Linked DNA regions of Stegostoma tigrinum. The protein of the gene in region 2 purifies or fractionates together with the protein of the main gene of each other region. This does not show direct contact. Links are inferred from orthologs where the notes say so. Each region holds a gene or a part of one and is shown on either strand. Other genes may lie near its edges.

Region 1 (8,100 bases), on a different chromosome or scaffold from region 2:
ATTATATAGTGATTTTTATCTGCTGTCAGTAACACATTTGCTATCACAAACTGTTTCAGACTCAATGTCAGCTGTAACAACAGGACCTGAATCTCTACATGTTAAAATGCAAACCAAACAGCAGAGGCCACAACCAGACAATATGACGACATCCAAAGTTGTCATACTGCATCAAAAATGCGCTGGTTGCATAGCGCAGAATCATGGAATATGGCTGGACCAAAAGGAAGAGAATTGGACAGGTCTTTTTTTTAAAAAAGACCTGTCCAATCTAGCCCCACAATTCTGCCTTTTCATCAGCTCCCTGCAAATCTGTATCCTTTAAATTCAAATCTAAATTGCCTTTCAAAATAAAAACAGAAAATGTTGTTAAGTAACTCATGACTTGCAGCATCTATGGAGAAGAAAAAATAGAATTAATGTTTTGAATCCAATAGGACTCAGTCATATTGGACTTAACATTGACTCTGTTACTGTCTCCACAGATTGTACCAGACATGGGGAGGTGCGCCAGCATTTTCTGCTTTTATTTCAGATTCATACTTTGTAGCTTACTTTTTGCTTTTATTTGACTGCCTATGGAATCTCATTCCACTACCCTATCAAACCGTGCATTCCAGGTTTTTACAACCACATGTACTAACATTTGTAATTTCCCTTCTAATTCTTTTGCCAGTTATTTTAAACCTATGGATTCTAAGTTCCCATTATCTAGATAAGGTAACAATTCCTACCTGCTCTATCCAAAACCCTGACAATCTTGAACAGATCAGAAGCTGTCAACTCTCGTCTGAGAAAAATCACAGCTTAAACAGACTGCACATACTGAAAGCTGAAAATAACAAAACTCTGGCAATATTTAATAAGTCTACAACTGTGTGACAAGAGAGGGGAAAAAAGTTAATAGTTAAGGCTGGGGCTACTTCTGACGAAGAAAGACCACAATAAAATATTGGATGTTTCCCTCTACATGTAGGCCACCAAATCACCTCAGCAGCTAATGCTTTATCAGCTTCTTGAATCATTCAGCATAAACGATGCCTTCAGCCTTGGTAGCAATTTCTCAAGTCTTTTGCATAGCCCGTCATGACACCCTTTGTAGACCCATTTAGAACTGCCCAGCACAATACCTCCGTGACTACGAACCGTTTCCTTGTTTTGCACTTGGTACATTTCGGAATGTGCAATACTGGCTCGCTGAAGAGGTTGCAGGATGTCAAGATAAAAAAAGTAGTACAGACAAATTCATAAAGCATTTAACAAAAGCTCAACAGTTTGTCAATGTCACTGGAAGCAAGAGGATTTTCTACAGTTTATTTCAAAACCAAATTAGTTTTAAATCAACACTTAAATAGATAGCAAAGCAAACCAGAATATTAATCCTCACAGAGCTTAACATGTTCATTCACAGAAAACCAGTTACCTAAGTGTCATCGCACAAACTTCAGAAAACATCTCTATCTTGACTATAAAGGAACCATGGACGTTTACATCACAAGAGAAGCCCTATAGCTCCCAAAAGTGCAGGCACTTGTGCTCTGCAAAAGCAACTTATTATTCATCTGAGTACCACTTTCTCCCCATTGCCATGCACTCTACTGTTTCAAAGATTCGTACAAATTTCCCTGACAAGGTGCAACCACATTTTTTGACAACACATTCCATGGTCCAACAAACTTAATGAAAAAATGCACAATTTGTGATTCTAATTGCAAATCAAGCCATTCAGGTATTCAAACACTACAGATTATTCTGCCCTTCTACAGAGTGCATGTTGGGTCTTCTGAAATACAAGGTAAGTTTGAAAAATATATGAACTGCAGATGAAGATAATAGTGAAGACTTACATTTTGCACAGGAAACTTGCAAAAGATCACTTACCTGAAAGTACACAAACTGAGGTGCAAAATCTAGGATACTGAGCAAAAGAACATCAGTATGATGAAATAACTGCAGCACTGCTGCTGATGGAGTAATTGATACCAGCAATTTGAAGCAACAGGCTACAAGTAATGCACAGGCATAATACCATTTAAAAGTCTTAACAGAACTCACAGCAAACACAGGCCATCTGGCCCACTTTGGGTTATGCTAGTGTGTTTCTGTGCCAAAGGAGGCTCTTCCCTCCCTACTTCAAAAGTACTCAACAAACCACTGCCACACAGAATACAAAGGAAACTGTACAAACAAAACTAAATTGATGGGAGAGAAAGCAGATGAAGCTGAAACCACTGAAACACAGGTCCCAAAGAGTGATAGCTCAGAATTAATCAGTTCTCAAGAAGGGTCAGACACATTAACTCTGTTTTCTCCTCACCTACCATGTTTTTCCAGTGATTTTTTTTTGTTTCAAATCTCTAACATTAAGTCTTACAATAAAACAAACAGCAGATCACAGATGACTCCTGGACACAAAAGTTCAGCAAGAAAGGACTGGTTTCCAGAAAAACTAGAATATTGCAAACATGACAGTGGACCAGGGTGGGGACAGCAAAAAAAAGGGGGTTGGGGAGATTTGGGAAGAGGGCCCTAGCACAGGCCGTGAACCCCTCTCCCCACAAAGTGCCTCACTCTCCCATCTTGCTTTCTCTATCCCATCCCCAGCCCCTTTCTCTCTCTTTCCTGACCACTTTCCCACATCCCCTCCCTCCAGACCCACAACTTCCCCAATCTGCTCTCTTTTACCCCCTCCCAACAACTCCCCGTCCCTTCTCCTCCCCATCCCACATCCCCTCTCCTCCACTCCCTTCTCTCCCTCCCACCCCCCTTAATCGCCTCTCCTCTTCCCCTCTCCCTCCTCCCGATCGCGGCTGCAAGCGCTGGATTTGGGCAGGGCTGTGGAGAGGCGCCGGGGAGCGGGAAGTGAGGAAGGTGGCGGCTCCCATCCGGGCGGTCGGGGAAGCAGGGACCGAGACGGTCGCGCAGGCCCCTCACCTGGACTTTCCTCCGGGCCGCGGTATTCTGCCGATGATGGGCCGCCATTTTGCATGTTGACACCGCGACGTCACTTCCTGTCCGGCGGCGGGCGGAAGTGAGTGGGCGGGGCCAGCAGGTAGGGCCCTCCTCACCTGGAGGCATTGTCTCTCCCAGTCAGTGACACGCACGCATTGACACACCTCCCTCAAATTATCCCATCAATGTGTAACCAAGCATGCTACGAGATGATGCCAGGAATCTGAAATTAAAACAAAACAAACATTAAAATGGCCAGCATCTGCAAAACTGAGCCAACTTCTGCACTAAAGTATCTTACGGTGTGAAGTAAAACCTTGGCAAGATACTGTGGCTGCTGGAAATCTGAATCAAACACCGAGGTAAAAGCCAGATGCATTCAGCAAGTCTGGCAGCCTCTGTGGAGAGCAGAACTGTTAATGTTTCAACTCCGATATCACTTCTGAATGCATTCCATACCAGACTCGAAACGTTGACTGTTTCTGCTCATAGAATCCCTACAGTATAGAAACACACCATTCAGCCCAACAAGCTCACACTGCCCCTCCAAAGAGTGTCCCACCTAGACCCATCTCCCACCTCCTGCATTCCCCATGTCTCACCTGCCTAACTTAAACATCCTTGGACACTACGGGCAATTTAGCATGGCCAATCCACCTAGCTTGCAAATCTTTGGATTGTGGAAGGAAACCAGAGCACTCTAAGGAAACTCACGCAGACACGGGGAGAATGTGCAAACTCCTCACAGTCACCCGAGGGTGGAATCGAAACCAGGTTCCTGGCACTGTGAGGCAGCAGATGCTGGTGGACCTGCTAGGTTTCTCCAGCACTCCCTGTGTTTGTTGAAGACAAACCATAACCAAAACTTTGAGACCACTTATCCTTCTGGGGAAGATGATGGCCTCTAAGGTTTTGGAATAGATTTGTAGCTTGGATTGTGGGTGTTGAGGTTGGTTGGCTCGCTGAGCTGGTTTGTTGTTCCGCAGACATTTCCTTACCATGTTGGGTAACATCCTCAGTGCAGCCTCTGATGAAGCATCGGTGTGCTATCCTGTCTGGTTTTTAAACTCTGGAGTCTATTGACCTGGATGGTCTTGTGGTATTAATGCTGGACTGTTAATCTGGAGACCTAGGTAATGTTCTGGGGACAAGGTCTTTTCCCTGGGGTGAAGGGAGTCCAAAGTTAGAGGACATAGGTTTAAGATGAGAGGGGAAAGATTTAAAAGGGACCTAAAGGGCAACTTTTTCATGTAGACACTGGTACGTATATAGAATGAGCTACCAGAAGAAGTGGTGAGGAGCTGGTACAATTACAACATTTAAAAGTCATCTCGATGGATATGTGAATAGGAAGGGTTTAGAGAATGCTGACGAATGGGACTAGATTAATTTAGGATATCTTGTTTGAATCCCAACATTGCAGATGGTGGAATTTGAATTCAGTAAAAAAAACTGGAATGAAGAGTCTGATGGCGACATTAAACTGTTGTTGATTGTCAGAAATAAAATCATCTGGCTATTTTAGGGAAAGAAACTGTTATCCTTACCTTGTCTAACCTACATTTGACTCCAAACCCACAGCAATGTGGTTGCCTTTGCCCTCTGGGCATTAGGGATGGGCAATAAATACTGGCCTAGCCCTGGTTGAATATCTCCAACACTTTCTGTTTGTAATTTGTACTTTGTCGATGTGCTGTAAATGGGGCCCAAGGAAGAAATGAGGAAAACTTGGAAATGAGAGTTCTAATGTCTACAAGACAGGCTTGGACCAGTTCTTTCAGCATTACTGAGATCAGTATATAGCTGAGGACACTCTCAGACAAGCATAGAGACCTGTGGCATACCTGAGTGGACTCAATACATAAAAAATGACAAGAGTTTTCCAGTTACGCTTGAGTAGGAATAGGCCATAGTCATAGAGTCTTAGAGTGTAGAAACAGGCCCTTCAGCCACCAAACATCAAACTACGCTAATCCCTTTTACCAGCACTTGGTCCACAGCCTGCTATGCCCTGACGTTTTGTGTGCCAGTCCAAATGCTTCTTAAATGTTGTGAGACTTCCTGCTTCCATCACTCTCTCAGGCAGCACATTTATATCTTTTTTCCTTTATTCTTTCACGGGATGAGGGTGTTGCTGGTTAGGCAGCATTTATTGCTCAACACAGTTGCCCAGAGGGCAGTTAAGTGTTAATCACATTGCTGTGGGTCTGGTGTCACATGTAGGCCAGACCAGGTAAGGATGGCAGTTTCCTTCCCTAAAGGATATTAGTGACCAGATGGGTTTCTCCTGATAGTCGACAATGGATTCATGGTCTTCATTAGATTCTTAATTCCTGATATTTATTGAATTCAAATTCCACCAGCCGTGATTTGAATCCTGGTCCCCAGAGCATTATCTGGGTCTCTGGATTAACAGTCCAGCGACAATGCCATTAGGCCATTGCCTCCCCAACATCTATACCACCCTCTTGGCAAAAAGAAACATTTCCTCAAGTCGAGATAATGGGAACTGCAGATGCTGGAGAATCCAAGATAACAAAGTTTGGAGCTGGATGAACACAGCAGGCCAAGCAGCATCTCAGGAGCACAAAAGCTGACGTTTCGGGCCTAGACCCTTCATTAGAGAGGGGGATGGGGAGAGGGAACTGGAATAAATAGGGAGAGAGGGGGAGGTGGACCGAATTACAAGAGAGTTGCAGTGGGAGAGAGATTTCCTGAGGTTGGTCCGGAGGGAGGAGGGTAACTTCTTCAGGTTAGGCATCCCTGGAAGATGCTTCGCAGTGAGGCTATAATTGTGATCAGAGATAACCCTGTACCACTTCCTCTGCAGCTCCTTTCACACACGCACGACCCTCTGCATGAAATAGGTGCCCCTTCGATCCTTTTTAAATCTTTCTCCTCTTACCGTAAACCTACACCCTCTAGTTTTGGACTCCCCCACCCCAGGGAAAAGACCTTGACTATTTACCCTATCCATGCCTCTCATGGCTTTATAAACCTCTATGACGTGACCTCTCAGCATCCAACACTCCAGGGAAAATAACCCCAGCCTTCTGCCATGTGGAAAAATATTCTTACAATATGCTCTATCTATACCTCACGTAATTTTGTATGCTTCAATCAGGTATGCCTTAGCCTCTTCAGCTCCAAGGAACATTACCCATTTTATCCAGCCTGTCCTCATAACTGAGACTTTCCATCCCAGACAACATCCCGGTGAATCTCCTCTGCACCCTCTCCAGTTCAATCACATCCTTTCGATAGAGTGGACACCAGTATTACACACAGCATTCCATCTGTAGCCTAACCAATGCTCTATGAAGTTCTCTGCTTCTGGTCTTCTCTCTTGGTAACGAAGGCAAGCATCCCGTATGCCTTCATCCCTGCCCTATCTACTTGTACTGACATTTTCAGGGACCTGTGGACTTGTATACCAAGGTTTCTTTGTTGCTCAGTACTCCCTAGGGAGCTACCATTCACTGTGTATATCCTTCCCCTATAAAACCTCCCAAAATGCATCACCTCGCACTTATCAGGATCAAATTCCATCTGCCATTGCTCCGCCAAATTTACCAGCTGACCAATATCAGACTATAACCTCAGACCATCCATCTCAGTGTCGACAACACCACCAGTTTTTGTACCATCTGCAAACTTACTAATTACACCTTTTACATTCACATCCAAATTGCTAATATACTTAACAATCAACAAGGGTCCCAGCACTGATCCCTGTGGTGCACCACTAGTCACAGGCTTACAATTACGAAACACCCTCCACCATCATCCTTTGCCTCCCATTTGCAAGCCAATTTTGAATCCATTTTGCCAACCTGCCTTGGATCCCATTGGGTCTGTTGGAGCAGCCTTCCATGTGGGACCATGTCAAAGGCTTTCGAAATTTACATAAATCACATATAGAAAAGCACGGCCTAATTAAGGACAGTCAGCATGGCTTTGTGCAGGGCAGGTCATGTCTGACTAACTTAATTCAATTTTTCAAGGAGATGATGAAGGTGATTGATGAGGTTAGAGCAATGGGTGTTGTCTACATGGACTTTAGTAAGGCTTTTGACAAGGTCCCTCATGGTAGGCTCACTCAGAAGATTAAGATACATGGGATCCATGGTGACTTGGCCACATGGATTCAGAATTGGCTTACCCATAGAAGGCAGGGGGTAGTGGTGGAAGGATGTTTTTCTGGCTGAAGGTCAGTGACTAGTGGTGTTCCACAGAGATCCACACAGTGACCTCTGCCGTTTGTGATATATATATAAATGACCTGGATAAAAATGTTGGGAGTTGGGTTAGTAAGTTTGCGGATGATACGAAGTTCGATACAGTTGTCGATAGTGTAGAAGGTTTTCAAAGTATACAGCAGGATATAGATCAGTCGCAGATGTGGGCAGAGAAATTGCAGATGGAGTTTAATCTGGATAAGTGTGAGTAACTACACTTTGGGAAATCAAATACTAAGGAAAAGTATACAGTTAATGGCAGGACTCTGAACAGAATTGATGTACAGAACGATCTTGGGATTCAAGTCCATAGCTCCCTGAAAGCAGTCATGCAAGTAGCTGGGTGGTAAAGAAGGCATATGGCATGCTTGCCTTTATTGGTCAGGGAACTGAGTACAAGAGTCAGGATGTCATGTTGCAGTTTTATAAGTGTTTGGTTAGGACACACACTTAAGAGTACTGTGTTCAATTCTGGTCACCACACTACAGGAAGGATGAGGCTGTGGAGAGGGTGCAGAAGAGGTTTACTAGAATGTTGCCTGGATTAGAAGGTATGACCTATAGAGAGGCTAGAAAAACTTGGGTTGTTTTCTCTGGAGCTGCGGAAGCTGAGGGGAGATTTGATAGAAGTCCATAAAATTATGAGATGCACATGCAGTATTGATGTTCAGAATCTCTTTCCCAGAGTTGAAATATCTAACACTAGGGGACGTACATTTAAGATGAGGGGGGAAAGCTCAAAGGAAATGTGAGGGGCAGGTTTTTTGACACAGATAGTGGTAGACTCTGGAACGAGCTGCCAGGGATGGTGGTGGAGGCAGATATGACAGGGGCATTTATGGGATGTTTAGATAAGCACATGAATCTGCAACGAGTGGAAGGATAATGGCCAAGAGCAGGCAAAATGGAT
Region 2 (7,460 bases):
TATTTTTTAAGAGTTCAGAACAGTGAGTGGTGATTTTACTGAAACTTAGACAATTGTGAGGGAGCTTGATGGGTTTGGAGAATGTAAACCAGAGATGGAGTTGCCCCATAATTTGTGAGAATTCATATACTTATAACCAACTTTGTGTGTGGGGAAATGAGTGCTTGAGACCTGTTTTAAATTCGGGATAAATGTGTGAGAATAAATGAACTGTTTATTTTAAAACTCACAAAAGCTCCCTGCTGGAATTATTTAATAGGAACTTGAACACCATTAATAAGACAACATAAACCTCTTTTTTGTTATAAAATACATTGATCAGGGATAATCAGAAAACACAGACATACTTTTGGTACAATATTTTCTTTATAGGTCAGAAATATTTACATTGATCTTAGACCTTCAGTGGATGAAGACCAAGCATGCGTAAACAGGTTGGCTTATTTCCTCAGTATTTTTTCTGTGGCCAACACTTTTGTATCATCTTCTTCAAGATATGAAAGACCTTGTCTGTGATTTTTAACTCATGGAGTTTTGGACATATAAACATAGGAAATAGGAGCAGGCCATTCAGCCCTTTGGGCCTGCTCTGCCATTCAATATGATCATGGCTGATTGTCCAGTTCAGCAACCTGTTACCACTCTCTTCTCATACCCTTTGATTCCGTTTAGCCCTAAGAGCTATACCTAACTCAGTTTGAAAACATTCAATGTTTTGGCCTCAACTGCATTCTGTGACAGAGAATTCCATGCATTCACCAGTCCCCCAGTGAAGACATTTCTCCTCATGTCAGTTCTAAATGGCGTACTCTGTATCCTTAGATATACACCTTCTCAAAACTCGATGTACATCTGGTTCTGGTCTTGTGGTCACTGGAAACAGCCTTTCCGCATTTACCCTGATTAATCCTGTTTAGGATTTTCTATGTTTCCATGAGATGCCCTCACATTCTTCTAAACTCCAGTGAACATAGTCCTAACCAATCCATTCTCTCTTCATATGTCAGACCTGCTGTCCCATGAATCAGCTGAGTTAATCTCTGTTGTCTTTTCTCTATTATCAGGACAACCTTCCTTAGGTAAGGAGACAAAAAATGCACACAGTACTGAGGATATGTATTTTACTCACTAAGGCATGTACAACTGCAGCAAGACATCCCTGCTCCTTTACTCAAATCGTCTTGCTGTGAAGGTCAACGTTCCATTTGTTGCCTTCTTCACCTGTTGCACCTGCATGATTTGCATCTGGTATGCAAAGGCACATGTGTCCCACTGCACCTCTCTCTCTTTCCCAGCCTATGGCCATTCAAATGATAATCAATCTTACTGATTTTGCTACCAAAGTTGATAAATACACATTTATCTACTTTATACTTCATTTGTTATGCAGTTACCTGCACAATAGGCTTGTCAAAATCACAGTGAAGCATCTCTGCACCCTTCTCACAGCCTTCCACCCTACTTTGAGACGTTGATGAATTTGGAACCTTTAGCTTTGTTAAATGGTTAATCTTGATGATAATGAATAACAACTTCCTTTAATGTTTCTTTGTCCCTGAAGCTAAATATGCATAGCCATCATTGTACATATTGTTACAAGGAATATTTGATTGCCAGTCGATAGTTGCATTTATGAATGTCTCAGTAAGAATCAGTCCTCTTAAGTGAAAATGACCCATTCACTTTGTACTTTCTGATGAAATTGGAGTGGAGCCTACTCTTCCATCATGTTTTCCATATCCTTTCAACCCATTCAAATGAAAGGGACAAACCTACGTTACAAAATATAACAAAGGCATCCTACCTTGTGACTTTTTTTGGCTTTGCAGAATTATAATTGCAAAATGCAATGCATTTGAAAAAAAGTCAAGATGTTGCTTATTTTTGGGTAATATGCCTGCAGGGTAATTTTGCATTTATTTGCCTTTAGAACATTTTGTGTTTCTAAATAATAGCAAAAATGATAGGGAGTATCTAATTTCTGTGAATTTTACCCATTTCTTTTGGGGCTCCCTAGAAATTCTACAAAGACATATCTCATACTCACCCAAATATGAAACATAACCACTGTCTTGTTGACTGTTGAACAGGATTCACTATTTATAATTGTATTTTACATTTAAGGAAGAACTTTGATAGTTTGAGTAGTTCTTAACATTATCAAGCCATCACAAGATGCTTCACAGCCAATGAATAGTGAAGGGGACTGTCAGCAATTACAGCAGAATGTAGATAGACTGGAGAGTTGGGCAGATAAATGGCAGATGGAGTTCAATCTGGGCAAATGCGAGGTGATGCATTTTGGAAGATCAAATTCAAGGGCGAACTATACAGTAAATGGAAAAGTCCTAGGGAAATTTGATGAACAGAGAGATCTGGGTGTTCAGGTCCATTGTTCCCTGAAGGTGACAACGCAGGTCAATAGGGTGGTCAAGAAGGCATATGGCATGCTTTCCTTCATTGGGCGGGGTATTGAGTACAAGAGTTGGCAGTTCGTGTTGCAGTTGTATAGGACTTTGGTTCGGCCACATTTGGAGTACTGTGTACAGTTCTGGTTGCCACAGTACCAAAAGGATGTGGATGCTTTGGAGAGGGTGCAGAGGAGGTTCACCAGGATGTTGCCTGGTATGGAGGGTGCTAGCTTTGAAGAGAGGTTGAATAGATTAGGATTGTTTTCATTAGAAAGACTGACATTGAGGGGGGACCTGATTGAGGTCTACAAAATCATGAGGGGTATAGACAGGGTGGATAGCAAAAAGCTTTTTCCCAGAGTGGGGGACTCAATTACTCGGGTTCATGAGTTCAAAGTGAGAGGAGGAAAGTTTATGGGAGATATGCGTGGTAAGTTCTTTACACAGAAGGTGGTGGGTGCCTGGAACGTGTTGCCGGCGGAGGTGGTAGACGCAGACACATTAGCATCTTTTAAGATATATTTGGACAGGTACATGGATGGGCAGGGAGCAAATGGACACAGACCGTTGGAAAATAGATGACAAGTTAGACAGAGGATCTTGATCGGCGCAGGCTTGGAGGGCCGAAGGGCCTGTTCCTGTGCTGTAGGTTTCTTTGTTTCTTTGAATCACTCAGGGCTGAATCTTACTTGTTTTAGAAAAGTGTCACTTTTGTTGAGCATTATGGAAGGTTTCTCCTCATGTATCCCACTGAGTTTTCTCACACTATTGTCCTAAACTCACCTCCTTTACTACTACCCACCCCTGCTCACCATTCTCTTCTGATACATGCCAATTCTCCCTATGGCTGCATATGGAAGTTCTTGTCACCACTGGAATCCCTGGCTCTGGCAGAATCTCTGAAAGCCCCTGAAGTGCAATACTGAAGTATCTTTGAAGTGGATCAAAGATGTACTATGATGGCATGGCAAGACAGGCATGTTTTGGATGCCAACACCTCCAAATGTGGAGTCATTGGTGCTGGAAATCCAAAATGTAAGTCTGGAGGTACCTACTCTGATTTTCATGTCTGGAATTCTTAGAGTATAGCATCAATCTGGTATGTGCTAGGAGAGTGCTTCTTAATGAGCTGCAATTGTGTAATAATTAAGGTGATAATGAGTGGTAATTTCCATTAGTATATCTCTTGCCACTCACTGGCAAGAATCTCCTATTGATGTTTGGAACTTAATTGGAAAGTGTGACTTGAGAAAGGCCTTGCTTGACTTCCCTTGCAATTTTCCCAATTCTCTTGCCATAGCCCACATCATTCAGGATGTGGGAAGATTCTCCCTTTAGAATTTAATTAGGGTGCTACAACAACAGCTCAGTTGGCTGGGCATCTGGTTTGCAATGTAGAATGATACCAGCAGAATGTGTTAATATCCCTCACTGGCTGAGATTACCATGAAGGACTCTTCTCAACTCCTCCCCTCACCTGAGGTGCGGTGACCGACAGGTTAAGCCACTTCGAACCGTGTCTCTCTCAAATAAGGGAGCAGTCCTCTGGTCCAGTTGTATTTATGGTGACTTTATTCCCAAATCAACAAACATCAGAGTAACATTATTATGATATGCAACATTCCAAGCCATAATGAACAATGGTTACTGTGTGAGAATACATTTATTAATGAATATTTCTTCCATATTATGTTAACAATCATACAATCTTTACCTCCTAATATACTCATAAAAGCAATGGATCAGTCAGACGGACAAAATATTTTTGTTCAGCTTTGAACAGGTCTTAAAGAAATGATTTGGCTCCAGTGTTTTAGCTGACCCATTCATTTCTACCTGACTTTTTTTTAAAAAGGGCATATATTTGATCTGAACGCCGCGATGATGTGACTGTCAATCACCAAGATTCTCAGCTTCCACTGGCTGTAAAATACAGATTGGGGTTACATTCATCCAATCAGGGGTAACTATTCTTTTTCGATGTGTGTCCCATTTCCTAAACGAATGAAGGATTTGAGTTGGAGCTGTAGGGTTTTTTTGTGTGTGAAGGGTGTCGGTCGGGTAATTAGGTCTTGGTATAAATTACAAGTCAGTATGGAACAGGAGAGAAGGCAGGAAAGGAAGACACCAATAGAAAGAGCTTATAATTGTTTAACATAATTATTACAGCACCAATACTACTTAGAGAATATTTTTTATGACTGTGGAGGTGGGTTTGTTTAAGCATAATTGTCGAAATTGATAGTCACTGCCTTAAGAATATTTCCCGGAGCTGCCAGGAATCCAAGAGGGTTCGAATGGAAGGCATAACGATCTTATCGCACTAAGAGCTTGTGACGGAACATTATTTTTCATTCCCTGAAATGAACTAAGATAAATAAATATACAGCAAGAGGTTGCGAGTCCACACACAAAGGCGACATCCACATGAATACACGCTCTGGTATTGTGTAGAAGCTCCGCCTGCAGCGTGACTGTCGGTGGGTCAAGACGATGTGACATGTATAGCTGGTGAAATCCAGTATTGCGGCACATCACAGACGAGGAAACATAGACAGCGACAAGGAAACAACAAAACTGCAAACGGGTTACAATGTAAGTCAGCTTCCTTTTCCCTCTCCTCCCCAGCGCAAAGCTGCAATTGCTGAATGACAGCAGCAACTTACGGTTTTTCTTTCAAAAAACAGAGAAAGAATCTAATGGGGGAACGTTTCCTGTTTGTAACACTTTCCGGATCCGACGTTTTGGGCTAAAATGACAGTTAATCAGGGAAATGGGAAATAACGCGCAGGAAACGCAACGTAGTCAGGCCTTTTGTATAGTGGCTTTCTCCTGGATCCTAGTGCGACTGAGACTAGATTCTCATTCAGAACATTTGTACTTTATACAGTATACGGACAGACACGGGACATATTATTGCTTAATAGATACTACCACACGTGTATTTGATCATCTTAAAACAAAATTCTGTTGAACAGTTCTTCTAATGTATTTGATTAGTTTTAAGATAATTGGGACATCCTGGGATCGTTAAAGGCACAATGCAAATGCAAGTCGTTTTATTTAAGTGTGCTTGCACGCCTTTTGAATTATATATTCAGTGCAACTAAACAAAAAGGGTTAATCTGAATTAGTAAAGCCAGTAATTTATAAGGGTTGAATGCTTCTGTGAATGCCTGTAAACATGACAGGAACATGGAAAGTGAAATCTGAGAAAATCTTTAACACCAAGAGAACTCGTGGGATCTAATTCTTAATTGCTGAACTTCTTCTGCACAGGTTATGGAAATATAATTCAATGGTGTTGAAGAGTTCAGACATATCAGGAGTCTATTATCCTGTACTGTTAAATCACTAGGAAATTGTTTATAAACAGGGAGCAAAGTTAATATAACTATTCATTTGCTAATGCAAAATGTCCAAATGAGGGAAAAGACTTCTGTTGATTTAATTTTCACTTTAATGACAACAAGAATTGGAGATTTAATTGTATTAACAGTTTAACCTTTTAGTAGACAAAGCCTAGATTCCCTAGAATTTAGAAGATTCGGCGGTGATCTAATTGAAATATATAAAATTCTCAGGGGCCTTTGTATGATGAATTCTGGAGCAATTTCCTGTGGCTGTGAAGCCAGGATTAAGGTTCTTGGACTGAGAATTTGGCTATTTAGAACTGAGATGAGGAGACATGTCTTCCCTCAAAGTGTTGTCTATCTTTGGAGTTTTCTGCTCTCAGAGTAGTTCAGTTATTGAGTTTATTCAGGACAGAGATTGATATATTTCTGGATACTAAGGGAATTAAAACAAAAAGTCACCATAGCCCTACCTGAGGGTCACCACATCTCAGGTCCCTTACCTGAGATTGAGAAGGAGAGTCCATCAGGGTAACCTCAGCTGGTGCAGGAATTCAGCCCATACTGTTGGCTTTAATCTGGGTATTGCAATCCAGCCGCTCAGCCAAGTGAGCTAACCAACCCTCACAAAGGGAATTAAAGGTTATGGGAATGATACAGAAAAATGGAGTTGAATTGCATGATCAACTATGATTTTATTAAATGACAGACAAAGCTCAAAGAACTGAAAGGCCTACTCCTACTGCTACTTCTGTCTTTGAAGTTTTAATGATCTTAACTTCAACTGTTATTGATTCAAAGCCATGCTGTATCCTAAAGACCATATTCAAGATCATATTGTAAATACAGTCCTTACAACATTGAATTGTAGGTGTACTCCATTAATGTAATAGCTGTAGTGCAATTTTTAGTAGACAAATGGTCTGATTATGAAACAGATGTTTGCAGATTCATAAGTGTTGGTTAGAGTTAAAGTAGTGCCAGTAGCAGTGATTACTGATTGAATTGCTGATTTTTTTTAGATTGAACTTGTATTTATATATACAATTACATGAGAAATATCTGAGACCAATTATATTTACAGTTAAAATGTAATTGAGGACTCCTGTTGCTTTGGATAGACAAGTCAGTCCAGGTAACTTGGGAAAAGAAAATGTAGTAACATGTAATTTAGGAGACTAGACAAAACAAGGAAAAACAAACATTTTAAGTAGTACTCCAGCATCTTTTTTTCAGGAGGAACATTCCAAGGTGAAGTGCAATCATGAAATACACAGAGAGTACTATATACTGCAAATGAAGTTTTTTTTATAGTGATAGACTGCTTGGCCAATAACTCCAAATCTTTCAGGTAAAATACACTTTCACTAAATTATTCTTAGAGATCAAATGTCAACTTAAATTCTGGAAAGCACAATTTTATATGTAACTAGTAATCTCTCATGCTGTACCTTTGTCATGAAAATTGCACATGGTTTTCAGATATAACCCAATGTCCATTTTAAAGCCAAATATTTTTCTCTTATTTTTACGTGGTTTAATGTTACATGTTATCACTTAACAGTAAAAACAAACAAATTTATATGAAACAGAGATATATAGTTGGTAGGAATGAAGGTTTCGCTGCTGAATAGGTTAAGAAGTCACATAGCACAAAACTGAGGCAATATAGTGCCACCAGTAGTCAGCAAGTATA
Region 3 (7,781 bases), on a different chromosome or scaffold from region 2:
CACTCACATACATTTGGAATATCTTTTGAGAATGAAGAAATTCCAAATATTTGCCTTGATCACTTTCACTAGTGTATCATGGAACCAGGAGTTTCATGATGCTTCAACATTTCAAATTTGTCTTGAATTCCATGATGCTTTCTGAGCGTCAGTAGTTTTACGTTTAGATTCTGTATCTCCCTATGTGCCAATCTTCAAGTCTTCTAATAAATGACAGTCAGCCAGTGGAAGGCAGCAGTCAGAGGAAAACACTGCTGTGATATCAGTGGATCTGTCCATGAGTAGTTGAGACACAAATACAATAGCTGTTAGAGAAGGATGAAAACCCCTTACAAAAGCACAGACCATTTTTCAACTTTGCATGTTATCCTTGTGCAGGGGGCTATGATAATGTTCTCTATATCATTTCGATTTGGATTACTTGAGGCCAAAGCGAAAACAGTATTTTTTTTTCCATATCTCACTTCTTAGACACACACTTTTCTCTTCACTGCCTTCATGTGTTCTTAACGTACTCACCTGAATTTGACACATCAAACACAAGTCCAGACTGATCACAGCAGCGTGAATATAGAAACAGGAGATAGTCATTCAGCCTCCAGGGCCTATTCCACCATCTGCCATAGACCATAGGTGATCTGCATGTTAACTCAGTTTACCCACCTTTTGTCCGTATGTCACATTATGCTTGCATCAAATGATACTATGAATTTATCTTTAAAATTCAATTGACCCAGGAAATCAACTTCTCTCTGAAGAAAATTTGAGATTTACAAAAACCTTTCCATGAAAAAGTTTTTCCTGAATGCATTTTTAAATGGTTTTGTTCAACTAAGGAGGAGATGGCCTAGTTGTTTTATCCCTCCAAAAATTCTGTTCTGGGACATAGGTTTGAATCCTGCCACGGTAGTTGGCGGATTTTAATTCAATTTTATAAAAACCTGGAATTGAGAATCTACTTACGACCAAGAAACCATTGCTGATGGATGAGGAAAAAGCTGTCTAATGGCCTTCAGTGAAGGGAATCTGCCATTCTCACCTCATCTGGCCTACATGTTACTCCAGACCCACAACAATGTAATTCACTCTCAAATGTCCTCTGAAACAGCCTGCAAGCCAATAAGTTCAATGGTACTACAAACAGGCAACAAATGCTGGCTAGCCAGCAACATCTACTTCCCATGAGTGATCCAAAAAAAATTAAGATTAGCCCTTCTTGTTTGGAATTCTACACTGGAAGAAGTGGTTTCTCTGTATCCATCTTATTCAGCCCCTAAATTATTTTCATTGCCATAATTTGTTCTCACTAATAAGATCAAGGGTACATTGTCTAAGCTTGTGCAACTTACAAACCCTAGTTTCAGTGGCAGATTGGCTGAAGCACATGCAGAGATGGACAGCAAAGTATCATCAGTAGTGTTATGAAGCAGCACATGCTCAGTAATAAACTGCTCTGTGACGCACAGCTTGGGTTCCATCAAGGCCACTCAGCTCCTGACCTCATTACAGTCTTGGTTCAAATATGGACAAAAGAGTTGAATTACATTGCCGTTGATATCAAGTCTGCATCCAGCTGAGTTTGGCATCAAAGAACCCTAGCAAAACTCCAATCAATGGGGAACTCTCTACTGGTTTGAGTCATACTGGGCACATAGGAAGATGGTTGTGGTTGTTGGAGGTCAGTTAACTCAACTCCAGGATATCTCTGCAGGTGGTCCTCAGAGTAGTATCCTAGGCTCAGCCACCTTCAGCTGCTTCATTGACGCCCTTGCCTCCATCATAAGGACAGAAGTGGGAATGTTCATTGATGATTGCACAATGTTCAGCACCATTCAGGATTTCTCAGATACTGAAGCAGTCCATGTTCAAATGCAACAAAATCTGGGCTGACAAGTAGCACATAACATTCATGCCACACAAACGCCAAACAGTGACTGTCTCCTATTGGAGACAATCTAACCACCATCCTTTGACATTCAATGGTGTGACCATCACTGAATCCCCCACTATCGACATCCTGGAGATTAGCATTCACCAGAAACTCAACTGACTCACCACATAAACATAGTGGCTACAAGAGAAAAGTCCGAAGCTAGGAATATTTCAACAAGTAACTCACCTCCTGAATCCCCAACGCCTGTCCATCATCTACAAGCACTAGTCAGGAGTGTGATGGAATACACCCCACTTTCCTGGATGGGTACAGCATTCATTCCTTCCACCATCGACATCAGTTGCTGTAGTGTGCAGTATCTATAAGATGCATTACAGGAATTTGCCAAAGTTCCTTAGACATTGCCTCCCAAATCTAATAATCACTCACATGTGGAAGGGCAACGGCAGCAGTTACTTGGGAACACCTGCAAGTTCCCCTCCATGTGACCTACCATCTTGGCTTGGAAATATATCGCCATTCCTTCACTGTTGCTGGGTCAAAATCCAGGAATTCCCTCCCTAAAGCCATTGTGGGTCCACCTACAGCATGTGGACGACAGCAGTGCAAGAAGACAGTCTACCACCACATACTCAAGGGCAACTAGGGACAGGCAATAAATGCTGGCTCAGCCAGTGCGGCCCATGAAAACTTGAAGGAATTAAGGGGGAAGAGTTGATTGCCTTCTACCATTTTCAGACATGGGGTATGGAGGTGAATGAATGGGGTGGCACGGTGGCTCAGTGGTTAGCACTACTGCCTCACAGCGCAGAGATCTGGGTTTGATTCCAGCCTCAGGCAACTATCTGTGCAGAGTTTGCACATTCTCCTTGAGTCTGCATGGGTTTCCTCCCATATCTAAAGATGTGCAGGCTAGGTGGATTGGTCAAGCTAAATTGCCCATAGTGTTCAGGGATGAGTCGATTAGGTTGGTTAGAGGGGGATGGGTCTGGGTGGGATGCTCAAGAGGGCCAGTGAGGACTTGAGTGGCCTATTTTGACACTCTAGGGATTCTATAATGATTTCCATTTAGCTGCATCCACTCCTGTTGAGGCAGCCAGCACACACACATTGTGTTGCTTTATCATTTTAATTATTACAGCATAAAGATTGTGAGCTATTATGCTGCTGGTTGAATGTTCAGAAATTAATCTCAGTTGGTAATCATGAACCACCCAACTGCAATGAAGGGATTCTGTCTTCCTCTTCCACGCTTCCACTTGCTTCCCTTCCTCATGTTCATTTCAAGGTAGTCTCCAGATATACGGTGGCAAGGGCTTTGTTTCTCATGATAATGATGATGGGCTGAATGCCTTCCCTATTTGCTGTAACAATTCTGTGACACAGAGGACTCTTGGACGCTTGAACTTTTGAGTACTTGAGGGGTCCTCTGAGCAATCGAGGCAGGGTAATCATTGCTTTAGTACACCACTGATCTTCTCTCTGATGTTCCCATGTTGGCAGCATGGAACTCATCGCCAGCATTTTCTCCATTCACACCTTAGGGCAAAGAGAGCCATGTGCCCAAATGATATCGCTTGTTTCCAAGTAGACAGGTGTGTTGTGATTGCATAAAGAACAGTGGGAAGATCTGACTGCTGCAGGATGAATAAGTTTTGGCTGCTGACAGGATACCAGGTATTTACCAAAATGATATTTTAGACATTGCAGCAAACCAATGTTTTCGTGAAATGTTAGCTCTTGACATTTCCCTGTTTAGACGTACGGCCCACAGAACCACATACATGCGCAGTCAATGACACTGCATTGTTGGAAAATGTGGTAACCTAGAAATGCCAACTCTGTCCATTTCTGCTAAGATAGAAACAACAGCGTCCCTCTCCTGGACTATATGATCTCTGTCAACTTACTGATGTAATGGTAAATGCTAAACTGGGGAATGTTAACTATTGGGATTGAGATCAGAAGAAATTTCTTCACCCAACAAGTGATGAGCTTGTCGAATTCTACTACCATAGAAAGCAATCAAAGCCAAACATTACAGAGATTGTAGGAATTGCCGATGCTGGAGAATCTGAGATAACATGGTGTGAAGCTGGATGAACATAGCAGGCCAAGCAGCATCAGGGGAGCAGGAAAGCCTTCCTGCTCCTCTGATGCTGCTTGGCCTGTTGTGTTCATAAGGCCAAACATTACATGATTTCAAGAAGGAATTCAGTACTGGGTAGAGCTAAAGGGGTATAAGGATATGGGGGAAAGCAGGAACTGGCTACTGAGATAACAAAGTGAGGAGCTGGATGAACACAGCTGGCCAAGCAGCATCTTAGGAGCACAAAAGCCGACGTTTTGGGCCTAGACCCTTCATCAGAATTGGATGGTCAGCCATGATTATGATGAATGGTGAAGCAGGCCCAAAGGGCTGAGTTAATGGGAACTGCAGATGCTGGAGAATTCCAAGATAATAAAATGTGAGGCTGGATGAACACAGCAGGCCAAGCAGCATCTCAGGAGCACAAAAGCTGACGTTTCGGGCATGTCCCTTGACCACAAGGACTGCAATGGATCAACTTTTCGCGGGCTATTAGGGATGGGAATACGCGCAGGCCTAACCAGCAAAACACATATCCCATGAAAGAATAAAACAAAAGCATCCTATGAAGGCCAGAATGTTCCACAGACTTCCCTGTAAGGAGGAAGCAATACTTGTTCAATGAGCAAACATTCTCATTCACTTTTGCCCTCTGTTGCCGTGTTTATCCCAGTACTGATAGGGTTACGCAGTGAAGAAGCTGCTCTCCTCCGCTGTTGTGTTTTATTCCAGTACTAGCAGGGTTACTCAGCGAAGAAGCTGCCCTCTTCTCTCCCTCTCCGTCGTTGCTGTGTTTTATTCCAGTGCTGACAGGGTTACTGAGTCCCCTCCTCTCTCCCTCCTCTACCGCTGCCCTCGGCTGAAGACTGCTGTAAAATGGCGGACGGAGAGTTGAATGTGGACAGTCTGATAGCTCGGCTGCTGGAGGGTGAGTCGCAGAATCAGTTGGAAAACAGCCTTTTGCTTTTTTTTAAAAAAAATCGTTAATGGTCCCCGGAACAACCTTAGATAACGTTTGTTTGATTTGCGAGGGATCCGGGTTTTTGCATTTCGAGAGGTGGCTCGAAGAAACAGCTCTTCACGGGATTAAAACAAACGCCTTTCCCCCGCCGCCGGTTTTTTTTTGTTAGAATTTGGAATGGTGTCGTTTGAGACGGAAAACCTTTGTACGATTTCGTTATAAAAACACGGAGGGATAGGTTTCGTTTTACCTGAGTGTGGCCTGTTCGGGCTCCGGAGCCTCGGCGTTGTGCTGCTGACAGGGTGGGCGGACGGGCGATGAGGGAGCCCAGGAACTCGGCGCCGGTTTAACCGACGACAATTTCAAATGGTTCCCAACCGCCTGCCTCTCGTGAGGGTGGAAATTGAGTTAGATTTTTTTTCAATTCGGAGTCAAAAGCATTTCATTTATAGTATTCAAAATATTGTAATATTACCCAGAGTTTTTTTTGAGTAAATCTCTTTTTTTTAATAAAACGAGTGAGAATTTTTTTTCCATTTAGGCATCTCTATCGGATCACGGTCTTGTAAAACATTTTAAATATTTAGCTTTGCAAGTTTGAAGGCCTTTGTTCTTTTCCAAAGGCTTGGATTCGAGTTAGTCAATCCCGGCAAGTTTCTATTTGCTGCATTTAGTTAGTGACTAGTAAACGTTTAATTATCGTATCTTTCGTTTGTGAGGGAAACTTTTTTGTCTTTTGATCCTCGTGTCTCCTTGGGGTGTGTCGTTTACTCTCTCATAGTGTTACGGTAAGGAAGGCCGTCGTTGTAGATCTCCTCAATCCATTCCTTACAAGGAGCCTTTCACTGGCTCTTGCCTGATGTCAACTATCTGAAAATATTTCATGTGTTCTTGCTTGTGGGTGTGTTTTTCTGTCCCAGCAGCAACTAGATTACATTGCCCATTTTTCATTCCGAGGAAAAAGGCTATCCCTCATTCCAGCTTAGTTCCATCTCCAGAAGACAATGGACACAGTAAACAAATTAATTTAAGATGGGGATGTAGTGGACCTTTCACTGATGGCTGAATAAGCCAATTTTTGAGAGGCAAGTTCTGCCACAAATGCCAGATATGGAGCTAGAGCATCATTGTAGGTTGATTTTGGTGCTGGTGGCTGTTCCCAAGCTGCGGTAGCCTTGGTCATCGTGGTACCAATTGGATACATCAATGGCTTAACAACAGGAGACACAATATTGGTGGAGGGTTACTTTTCAGACTGGAGGCCTGTGACCAGCAGTGTTCCACAGGCATTGGTCTTAGAACATAGAACATAGAAAAATACAGCACAGTACAGGCCCTTCGGCCCATGATGTTGTGCCGTGGAATGATCCTAATCCCAAAATAAAATAACCTAACCTACATCCCCCCAATTCACTGCTGTCCATGTGCATGTCCAGCAGTCGCTTAAATGTCACTAATGACTCTGCTTCCACGGGCAAAGTATTCCATGCGCTCACAACTCTCTGGATGAAGAACCTCCCTCTGACATCTCCTCTATACCTTCCTCCTAACACCTTAAAACTATGACCCCTCGTGGCAGTCAATCCTGCCCTGGGGAAAAGTCTCTGGCTATCGACTCTATCCGTGCCCCTCATTACCTTGTACACCTTGATCAGGTCACCCCCGCTTCCTCCTTCTCTCCAGAGAGAAAGGTCTGAGCTCCAAATTGGGTCCAATTTTGTTTGTCATTTGTATTAATGATTGGGATGAGAATATAGAAGGCACGGTTAGTTTCTTTTTAATTCATTCACAGGAGAGGGTGTTGCTGCTAGGCAGCATTTATTGCCCAACCCTAATTGCCCAGAGGTCAGTTAAGAGTCAGCCACATTGTGGGTCTGGAGCCACATTAGATTCTTAATTCCAGATATTTATTGAATTCAAATTCTACCCAATGTTATCTGGGTCCAGCAATAATAATGGCATTGTAGACAGTGAAGAAGGTTTTCTCAGATTACAGAGGAATCTTGATCAAATGGATCAATGGGGCAAAAAATAATGGCAGATGGAGTTCAATCTGGATAAATGTGAAGTATTGCATTTTGCTACAACAAACAAGAGTGGGGAGAATGGAGACAACAAGGTGTAGAGCTGGATGAACACAGGCCAATCAGCATCAGAGAAACAGGAAAGCAGACGTTTCGTGTCTAGACCCTTCAGAAATGGGGGAGAGGATGGGGATTCTGAAATAATTAGGGAAAAATGGGGAGGCGGATAGAAGATGGATAAAAGGAGAAGGTACGTGGAGAGGAGACAGACAGGTCAAGGAGATGGGGTAGGAGCCAGTAAAGGTGAGAGTGGGTGGGGAGTTGGGGAAGATTTAGGTCGGTCCAGGCAGTACAGGCAAGCCAAGGAGGTGGGATGAGGCTAGTCGGTAGGAGATGGGGGTGGGACTTGAGATGGGAGGATGGAGAGGTGGGAGGTCAGGCTAGGGAAGTGGGTACGAGCTGGGCTGGCTTTGGGATGTGGCTGGGGAAGGGGAGATTTTGAAACTCGTGAAGTCCACATTGATACCATTGGGCTGCAGGGTTCCCAAGTGAAATATGAGATGCTGTTTTTTGCAACCTTCGGGCGACACTGTTGTGGTACTGCAGGAGGCCTGGGATGGACGTGTAGTCTAAGGAGTGGGAGGGGGAGTTGAAATGGTGAATGGAGACCAGTCACTAATGGTATTCTGCAGTGATCAGTCTGAGGTTCTCTGTTGTCTGTATGTATAAATGATCTCAAGAAAAATGTGGGTGATCTGATTAGCAAGTTTGCAGATAACACAAAGATTGGTGGAGTTGCTGTTGGTGCCAACG

What was found.
Region 1: the proteins of neurabin-2-like (region 2) and WD repeat-containing protein 48 purify together in Homo sapiens (affinity purification with mass spectrometry; 3 studies listed by BioGRID and IntAct, with this or other methods). This does not show direct contact. The link is inferred for Stegostoma tigrinum from reciprocal best matches to the Homo sapiens genes PPP1R9B and WDR48.
Region 3: the proteins of neurabin-2-like (region 2) and ppp1cb purify together in Homo sapiens (affinity purification with mass spectrometry; 4 studies listed by BioGRID and IntAct, with this or other methods). This does not show direct contact. The link is inferred for Stegostoma tigrinum from reciprocal best matches to the Homo sapiens genes PPP1R9B and PPP1CB.

The regions. Positions count from the first base shown.
Region 1 is NC_081355.1:148,392,449-148,400,548, forward strand, and holds the start of WD repeat-containing protein 48, read right to left. Parts: upstream 3,009-8,100; 5' UTR 2,983-3,008; coding exon 2,935-2,982; intron 1-2,934. UniProt on the Homo sapiens protein: Regulator of deubiquitinating complexes, which acts as a strong activator of USP1, USP12 and USP46. Enhances the USP1-mediated deubiquitination of FANCD2; USP1 being almost inactive by itself.
Region 2 is NC_081384.1:21,255,926-21,263,385, forward strand, and holds the start of neurabin-2-like, read left to right. Parts: upstream 1-4,405; 5' UTR 4,406-5,006; intron 5,007-7,460. UniProt on the Homo sapiens protein: Seems to act as a scaffold protein in multiple signaling pathways. Modulates excitatory synaptic transmission and dendritic spine morphology. Binds to actin filaments (F-actin) and shows cross-linking activity. Binds along the sides of the F-actin.
Region 3 is NC_081357.1:18,405,464-18,413,244, forward strand, and holds the start of ppp1cb (serine/threonine-protein phosphatase PP1-beta catalytic subunit), read left to right. Parts: upstream 1-4,774; 5' UTR 4,775-4,859; coding exon 4,860-4,911; intron 4,912-5,194; exon of another isoform or gene 5,195-5,289; intron 5,290-7,781. UniProt on the Homo sapiens protein: Protein phosphatase that associates with over 200 regulatory proteins to form highly specific holoenzymes which dephosphorylate hundreds of biological targets.